Sus scrofa: one gene and its partner. The protein of the gene in region 1 purifies or fractionates together with the protein of each later gene. This does not show direct contact. Links are inferred from orthologs where the notes say so. Each region holds a gene or a part of one and is shown on either strand. Other genes may lie near its edges. The genes, in order: ATP11C and TMEM30A.

Region 1 (3,821 bases):
TATGGCCAAGGTATATTCCAGTAATTGGTTTAGATAAGGCTAAGTCTTGGCCAATGTCAAGTATAGGAAAATGTATCCCTGGGTATTAAATTATTGTGGATCAGTGGCTTTCCTTGAGAAGCTTAGGTTCTGCGAGTTCTTCCTAAGCAGCTTGTTGAAAGCAGTCGAGTGCCCATGTTATTAAGTATTTGGTCTCCTTTGGGTACTGGGGCACGAAAATCCACACAGAAAATGGCTCCAGGACCTCAATGTGCATGGAAACTGTTTTAGAGACTGATTTTATTACATTCAATTTAAGAGATCATGGAAAGGAATATTTTTTAACACAGACCAAGCCAGAATAGTACTGATAAATACCCGGACCCTAAACATTTAGAAAGTGAACCACTTTTCTAAAGCTTGAGAAGTGCAAGGTTTTCTTTTAAATGAAAGGAGAGTTGGAGAGGGCCAAATAATCTCAAATGGGTCACTAGCCAAGTCCTCAGGGAAGGTTCTAACTTACAGGAAATAAAGCACCTGCAAACAAAGAATAATAAATTACAGAAAATGGAGACTTCTGCATGAACAGCTGTGATTTACATCTGTACCAATGCATAAATATAATGAATCTATGCACTTTCTTACTTTTTAAGGCTTCTAGTACTTTTAGGAAATTCATGCAGCAACTTCTTACGATATTCAATCAACAACTCATGTAATCGATCTTCTTTCCTTTCACTTTCTTCGATGGTTTTGGTGGTCAGTTCCAAGAGCTCGGTGCTGGTTTGGAAAAGGCGGCAGGCATAGCAGGTGGATTTGGCTGTCTCCATCTTGTCCCCAGTAAGCACCCAGACTTTCAGACCTGCTGCGTGCAAAGCTTCAATGGTCTCAGCAGCTTGATCCTGTAGCCTGAGAACACAAAGAAAACCTTGTTATCTTCAAAAATTCCTGACATAGAGATTCTGCAAGAAGGCTTGTGAAAGAATATTTTTATAATTCATAGCAATTCTGGAGTCCAGACGTGTTATCACAGTTGGTTTTCTTATATATCCTCCCACTCTCTCTAAGCACACACTTTCTGGCATTGTGATTAAAGTAACATTTTAAACAATGAGATCTGGAAAGTTCATGACATCTCTTGAGGTAACCAACGACAGAATTAAGAATCATCACTCAGCTAAAATGTTCAGAAACTCAACAAATGTTCTTATTCACTTAACATATTTCATTACATTTTATATCCCATCATACAAATACTTGACATGGCTCAAAACTGAAAGGGGCAAACACATTCTAATGCGATACCAAGGGAAGTTAGCAAATCCCCATCTCTGAGGAGCTTGAAGTATAGGAAAGCCAGCCATTCTGAAAGAGAATTTAAGCATAATTCTGAGAGGCAAGGATAGAAGAACGATATTCTGTGTTCCTTTTGGCCAGAGAACAACAATGAAATTAGAAAAAAATGAATTCTATTAGAATTCCAATACTTTCCAACTCGGCTAAATATAGGTTTACAAATTCTTGTTTGGGTTAAGCGTCACAGTTTACATTCATAACTTCTAGAAGACTCCTAAAACAGAATCTAAGACTTATTTTTTCAAGCGTATCAATTCTGGAGCCCTATAATCATGCCCAGCAGAGCTCAGCCTGTATATTTAGAGCAAATTATTTTAAAGTATGCAAAATCATGCTCTAGTCTGTCAAAATTGTACCGACTCTACCAGGTACCAACTCAAACGATACCCCTAGCACAAAGCTTTCTACACATAGTAAGACTCTTTCATAAATATCTGCATAAATTCATGGCTTAGTAAGTATTCAAAAGACCTCAGAGATGACGAATTCATTCTCCTAAGCCACAAATATTTAACTTGAAAATCATTCCCACAAACAGTTCAAAATCTGGTGTACTCACAAAGCTGAATCAAAGATTTTAAAATTTGAGAATAAGTTATCAATTTGGATAGATACCATCTTAAATGATTGGTCATTAAAATAACAATATCATTTTCTAGTTACTTGTCTTCCACTGCAGTGGCTCCAATTAAATTCATGTTTGTCTCAATATCATCAAAAACCTTTTCCATTTTTTCTTCTCTGTCTTGTAAGGCCATTTTCGCCTCTATGAGTTGTCTGTTAATTTTTTCATAATCATCTGGAGCAATTTCTTTGAAGGCTACACAAAGTGTCCGATACCCATCCTAAAAGTAAAGTAAGAGATCGTGACTTATCCAAATAAATAAAAACAAAACACCCATTAAAGACTCTTGCTTTACCATACAAAAGAGAAACAGACACATTTTTAGTTAAAAAAGAAAGAAAAAAAAGAACACGCTGCATAATATTCAATAGGTTAATATCCAATTAGGTTCAGAATAACAAAATAATGCCTCTTGGGGTAAAAAATTTAAAAAATATTTTTAAAGAGGAGAACATAAAGATTTCAAGAATCTTCAAAAGCTACAAATTCTAAACAGAAACTTGCAATAGGGTGTTTTATATAAAAATAAGGAGGGAGTTCCTGTTGTGGCTCAGTGGGTTATGAACCCGACTAGTATGCATGAGGATGCAGGTTCGATTCCCTGGCCTTGCCCAGTGGGTTAAGGATACAGCATTGCCATGAGCTGTGGTGGTGTAGGTCACAGACGCGGCTCGGATCTGACATTGCTGTGGCTCTGGTGTAGGCCTGGAGGTGCAACTCTGATGCGACCCCTAGCCTGGGAACTTCCATATGCTGCAGGTACAGCCCTAAAAAATCAAGAAAAAATACAAAAAAAGATGACAAAATAAGCTAAAATTCGTTTAAACAGTCCTTGAAAATAGTAATCCATAAACGTAGTCATCTCTAGCATTTCTCTTTCTATTAGGGGGAAAGGTATAGTCTCACCATTGCATTACGTTCCACATGGGCTTTAGTTAACTCAATTTCATGATTTTGCACCCTGGGGAAAACTGCTGAGTCGGCTCCTTTACAAAAGAGAAGAATGTCTCCTAAAATAAAGAACAAGAGTACTTGACTTAGAATTTCAAGACAGGTATTGGGATTTTAAAATTTTTTTGTCTGTTTAGGGCCACACCTGTGGCATATGGAGGTTCCCAGGTTAGGGGTCGAATCGGAGCTACAGCCGCAGGCCTACACCACAGCGATAGCAACTTGGGATCCGAGCCGCGTCTGCAACCTACACCACAGCTCACGGCAACACAGGATTCTTAACCCTCTGAGCAAGGCCAGGGACTGAACCTGCGTCCTCATGGATGCCAGTCAGATGCATTTCCACTGAGTCACGATGGGAACTCTGGTACTAGGATCTTAGTAACACGTAGCTATTAAGGCGGTGTCTCCCACCCAGCTGCTGTGTATCCTGAGCCTGCCTTGGAATGCTCACCTAAATGCAGCGAGACATCTTGACCTTTAATCTGTCAGGACAACATTCACCATGTTTTAGGACCAATACGGACACAACTAATATCGTAGAGTTTACAACATGCACCTCTGTCAAAACATACTTCCTTGCAATGAGTCACAGAGGACTGTGCTTGTGTCAAGGAGCTGCATTTGAATTCTCTTTCAGGATGTTGTCAATCAAGGTCTAAAGTTCACATGTGGCATCTACAGATGTCAAGGACCAAACTCAAGCTCAAACAAGATAAAATCATTTTGAAAGACTATACATGTTAGCTTTTAAAACAGTAGCTTGATGGTTTTTACTGGAAACTTGAGGCTAGCCTTACAGAATGCTAGTACAAGTCCAGCTTTACAGACCAGTCATGTACTTCCAGGAAAGTGGACACAGCTGACCATTAAGAAAGACATTCCATCCTTATAAAAGCAAAATGCTAAT
Region 2 (4,555 bases), on another chromosome or scaffold:
CAAGTAAGACAGAGAGAGAAAGACAAATACCATATGATATCACTTATATCTAGAATCTAATATACAGCACAAATGAACCTTTCCACAGAAAAGAAACTGATGGACTTGGAAAATAGACTTGTGGTTGCCAAGGGGGGTGGGAGGGGGAGGGAGTGGGCTGGACTGGGAATCTGATGTTAAAAGATGCAAACTACTGCATTTGGAGTGGATAAGCAATGAGATTCTGCTGCATAGCACTGGGAACTATATCCAGTCACTTGTGATGGAACATGGAGGATATTGTGAGAAAAAGAATATATGAATGACTGGGTCACTTGGCTGTACAGTAGAAATTGACATAACACTATGAATCAACTGTAATGGAAAAAATAAAAATCATAAAAAAAAAAAGTTGGGACAGGGACCACTGGTTTTCATCATAAGGCCTTTAGAAAAAAATTTTTAAAACTATGCACATGTTACTTTAATAAATTTTAGATATATAAAAGCAAATAAGGTCACCATGATCTGATTTTAGACAAGATATTTATTTTGAAATTTCAAATGACATCTGGGGAAATGTGATTTTTATGTTTATTGAATGGGGCATGGGCTAAAAAGAGGCTCTAATACACTTTACTAGTTTATCCAGATACAACAAAACTCTATGCACCAAATTCTTCTTGAAACAGCACTTCCTTACTCCCTCCACCCTCCCCTCAAAATATCCATGTTCACAAAGAATATAACTTTGCAGCTAAACCAACAAAGGACCATAAAGTAATTTTAAGGCAGTGTTTCCATGAAGATAAGAGGTGAGCAGGCTGAACCCTACTTTTCAGACACCCCTTTCCTAGTCTGGCTTTTCATATCTCCACCCACTTCATTATTTTCATCATCCTTGTCTCTCCATGAGTTATACATTTTCTATTTACCAGAAATTTTCCCTTATCTACTGCCAAATTTAGCCTGTCTGCCCATAACTGAGATTACAATCTGACTACTTCCTGGTAAGAACAGATGTTTCTCAGTAAACCCTGCAGTTAATGCTGTCAGAATGATTAATATTTATACATATGGCAATAAAATCTAAGCATGAAAATGTTAAAATTTGGACTTACTGACCCTGAGCTAAAATTTAGTCCTAAATATTACTAGCAACAACACTGGGGCACTGTTATTTTAGCAAGACACTTGAACATAGCAAAATTGTGTTCATTTTTATTAATATAGAACATACTAACAGAAGGTTATCTTTCAACAGAATCAAGCTTAGAAATAAACTGTTACCAACCCAATAAACAAATAATATTCACTTGACTCTCCACTTGGTTGAATAATTGTTAGGTAGTATAGTTATTTTAACTAATTTATTTTTAAACTGCTTTACGATTTCAAAGAAATTTCTTAGCTTTTACTTATTAAATAATTCCTTCAATTGGGAACTTTGTCTATCAAAATATTTCCTCCAAGTTAGTGCATTCTTCACTGCCTTCTACTTAACCTAGCTGTCTTAAAACACAATATGATTCTTTGGAAGTTGAGTATGACATCAGTGTTTCCAAAAGATGAGCATGAAGCTGGTAAGGAGGAAATGTATTCCTTCCTCAGTCACAGAGGCCATATGAATGTTCCACATTCTTCGTATTTAGCAACAGGAATCCCTCAGAGCTCAAATGGCAGGAGACAAGGAGAATTTAGGCCATCAATGTACTTGTAAAACTGATAAAACTCCAAATATGTTTTAGGACTCCATCTTCACCACAGATGAGGAAGCACTGGAAGCACTCTTCAGCTATTCTGCAGCGGCACCTCTGATCCCACAGTGAGAAAGAGATACAGGCTGGCAGTCCATCTTAACAGCACAGACTCAATCTGCAAAGACTAGAAGACCCTTCCCCCAGTGGTGACTCCACAAAGTCAACTGCCATGTGCGGTAGGCTCTATTACCAGAATAAACAGCCATATTCTGAAGGACTGACAAGACAAAAGAATAGTTTCACATAAAGAATACCCTATATACTCAGACACTGCAGGATAATCAATCATACATTAAGTACCTCATGCAAGTAATAGTCTACCTGTTACAAGTCATTATAAACTGCAAGTTGTTTTAGCTGAATTTCATGTTATACAAAACTTAAGAAGTGTGGCACATTTCTACTATTAATCATTACATTATTTTTTGAGGTTTTCTTTTTGTTTTAAAAAAACATATATTAATCAAAATTGATACATTACCCAGACCTTTTGATTTAAAATATAACCAAAGGAAACCATTACGAACTCTGAAGTCAAACAGCATTCATTTATACAAACATATGAGATATTTTAGTTAAAAAAAAATAGCCATTTCAATGCAATTAAGCCACCTCTGATTAAGAAATACCTTTCATGCATGTGAAAAAGTAAGTTTACATTCAAGAATAAGTTCCACAGCAAACAAATTACAGCGTTTATTCAATAAAGAATATTAAAATAATTCCAGTTAATAGAAAATAAAGTAACTTCAAGCATATACATATATATACACACATACACACACACACACACACACAGAGACGCATACTATAATCATATACATACTCCAAAATCTCCAGAAATTATTCAGGAAATTTAAAGAACTTCTTTTTAAAGTACATCTTAGAAATACCAACCATAATAACTGGTGCCTTAACTAAAGAGAATGTGCATACACGTTCATATTTGACCTATCAGCAAAAACTGAAAGACATATGGAAGAAATGAAGGTTATTATTCGCCAAAATTTCTGGTATACAATTATTGGTACACTTAAGTTAAAACACTTACCTGCAAAATAAAAACAGCCTGAGGTATTTCCAATGCTGAAGAAAATTTCTGAATGTTAAATACCACAAGAATGAAAAGAGTCTCCTTTGAACATTTACATACGGTTTACAGTTGAGGCAGAAGGTAAAGATCTGCCAAGAAGTTTCCCCAGCTCACCTACATTCTTTCACCCCTTAGGAAGTGCAAGCTTCAAAGGAAATGTTCACACATAAAACATCAAGTGAGCTGGGTTTCCTGACTGCAGTATCTTAACCAAATGGAAAGAGGAATTTTAAATTCTCCTGAGACCTACCTGACCTCTTCAGACAAAAGCATTAAGTCCTATGCTAGACGGGTAACCATGCCCTTTGAAATCAAAGTTAAAAGAAGCTCAACAAAGAACTATACTGGGTAAAGTGAATATGTGGACCACCTCAACAAAGATGGTCCTTGAAGCCTGTACACACGACACATGAAAATGATGAAGTATTTTATTTAGATTTGGTCTTTCTTCATCTTTTTGTAACTCTTGAATCCTGAAAGTTAGCAAGTCATTATTCTCATACATATTGTAATCCGCTCTTCACACAATAGGCACACATATACAGTATCACATGTCAATATAATATTATCGACACAGTATAAACATTTAAGCAGCAGACGCGTTTCACTTCAAAGAGGCTCTATGCATCATACGGCCTGTCCCAACAGAATGCAAACATCAGAATGCCATTTCAGCAGTTACAGTGTTGATATGATCACTATAGTTAATTTCTCTTATACCCGTCATATATTTTCATAAGTCATCCATAAGGAAGAAGCAAAGGACAAAGATTGCTTTAAAAAAAAGTTATGTGCCAACTTCAAAAATGACATACTAACCAGACATCAGCATTTGAAAGCAAGGTTGAATAGGACTGGCCTTGATGCACATGCAGTAAATTTGTTTTCAGAATATAAAATTAAATGGTAATGTCAGCAGTATTACTACTGTTTCTATATTTATGATTAATTACTAGCAGTACAACTCCCAGAAGGAAGGAGATGGATCCAATAGCGATGTAAGCAATCCCCAAAAATGGATTTTTTCCTCCCATCCATGAAATAGTGCTCAAGATCATCCGTTTTCGTCCATCAAATGAATGCACAGGATAATCTGAAGGGTGTATAGGAAGACTTTTCCATGTCTGATTAATCGATTTTTAAAATACAACTTAAAAAGTTAGCACTCAGTTGCTTGCAATTCACTGGTATCATTCTATAAAACACAGACACTTTACTCAGATGTTCTGAATCACAAAATAAATTGTTTTTATTATCCTGAAGAACTGATTCCACAAGTTAAATGTTAGTAGTAAAAGCCAACACAGTTTACAAGGAAAAATATCTAAACTTAAGGGCTATATAATATCTCATTTCTCAGGTATTTCTGTTCTCACTGAACAGGAGGGGCAAAAGGCCATAAAGAAATGCAATATGAGGAGTTTCCGTCGTGGTACGGCGGAAACGAATCCAACTAGGAATCATGAGGTTACAGGTTCCATTCCTGGCCTCACTCAGAGGGTTAAGGATCTGGCATTGCTGTGAGCTGTGGTGTAGGTTGCAGATGCGGCTCAGATCTGGCATTGCTGTGGCTCTGGCACAGGCCAGTGGCAATAGCTCCAATTGGACCCCTAGCCTCGGAACCTTCATGTACTGTAGGTGCAGCCCTAAAAAGACAACACACACACACACACACACCCAGCAATGTGAAAAAATATCAGGTAAATAGCAATGACATCCAGAG

What was found.
Region 2: the proteins of ATP11C (region 1) and TMEM30A purify together in Homo sapiens (co-immunoprecipitation; 4 studies listed by BioGRID and IntAct, with this or other methods). This does not show direct contact. The link is inferred for Sus scrofa from reciprocal best matches to the Homo sapiens genes ATP11C and TMEM30A.

What each region holds. Positions count from the first base shown.
Region 1 is NC_010461.5:114,442,985-114,446,805, forward strand, and holds part of ATP11C (phospholipid-transporting ATPase IG), read right to left. Parts: intron 2,971-3,821; coding exon 2,867-2,970; intron 2,181-2,866; coding exon 1,999-2,180; intron 889-1,998; coding exon 625-888; intron 1-624. UniProt on the Homo sapiens protein: Catalytic component of a P4-ATPase flippase complex which catalyzes the hydrolysis of ATP coupled to the transport of aminophospholipids, phosphatidylserines (PS) and phosphatidylethanolamines (PE), from the outer to the inner leaflet of the plasma membrane.
Region 2 is NC_010443.5:90,683,958-90,688,512, reverse strand, and holds the end of TMEM30A (cell cycle control protein 50A), read right to left. Parts: intron 3,926-4,555; coding exon 3,732-3,925; 3' UTR 509-3,731; downstream 1-508. UniProt on the Homo sapiens protein: Accessory component of a P4-ATPase flippase complex which catalyzes the hydrolysis of ATP coupled to the transport of aminophospholipids from the outer to the inner leaflet of various membranes and ensures the maintenance of asymmetric distribution of phospholipids.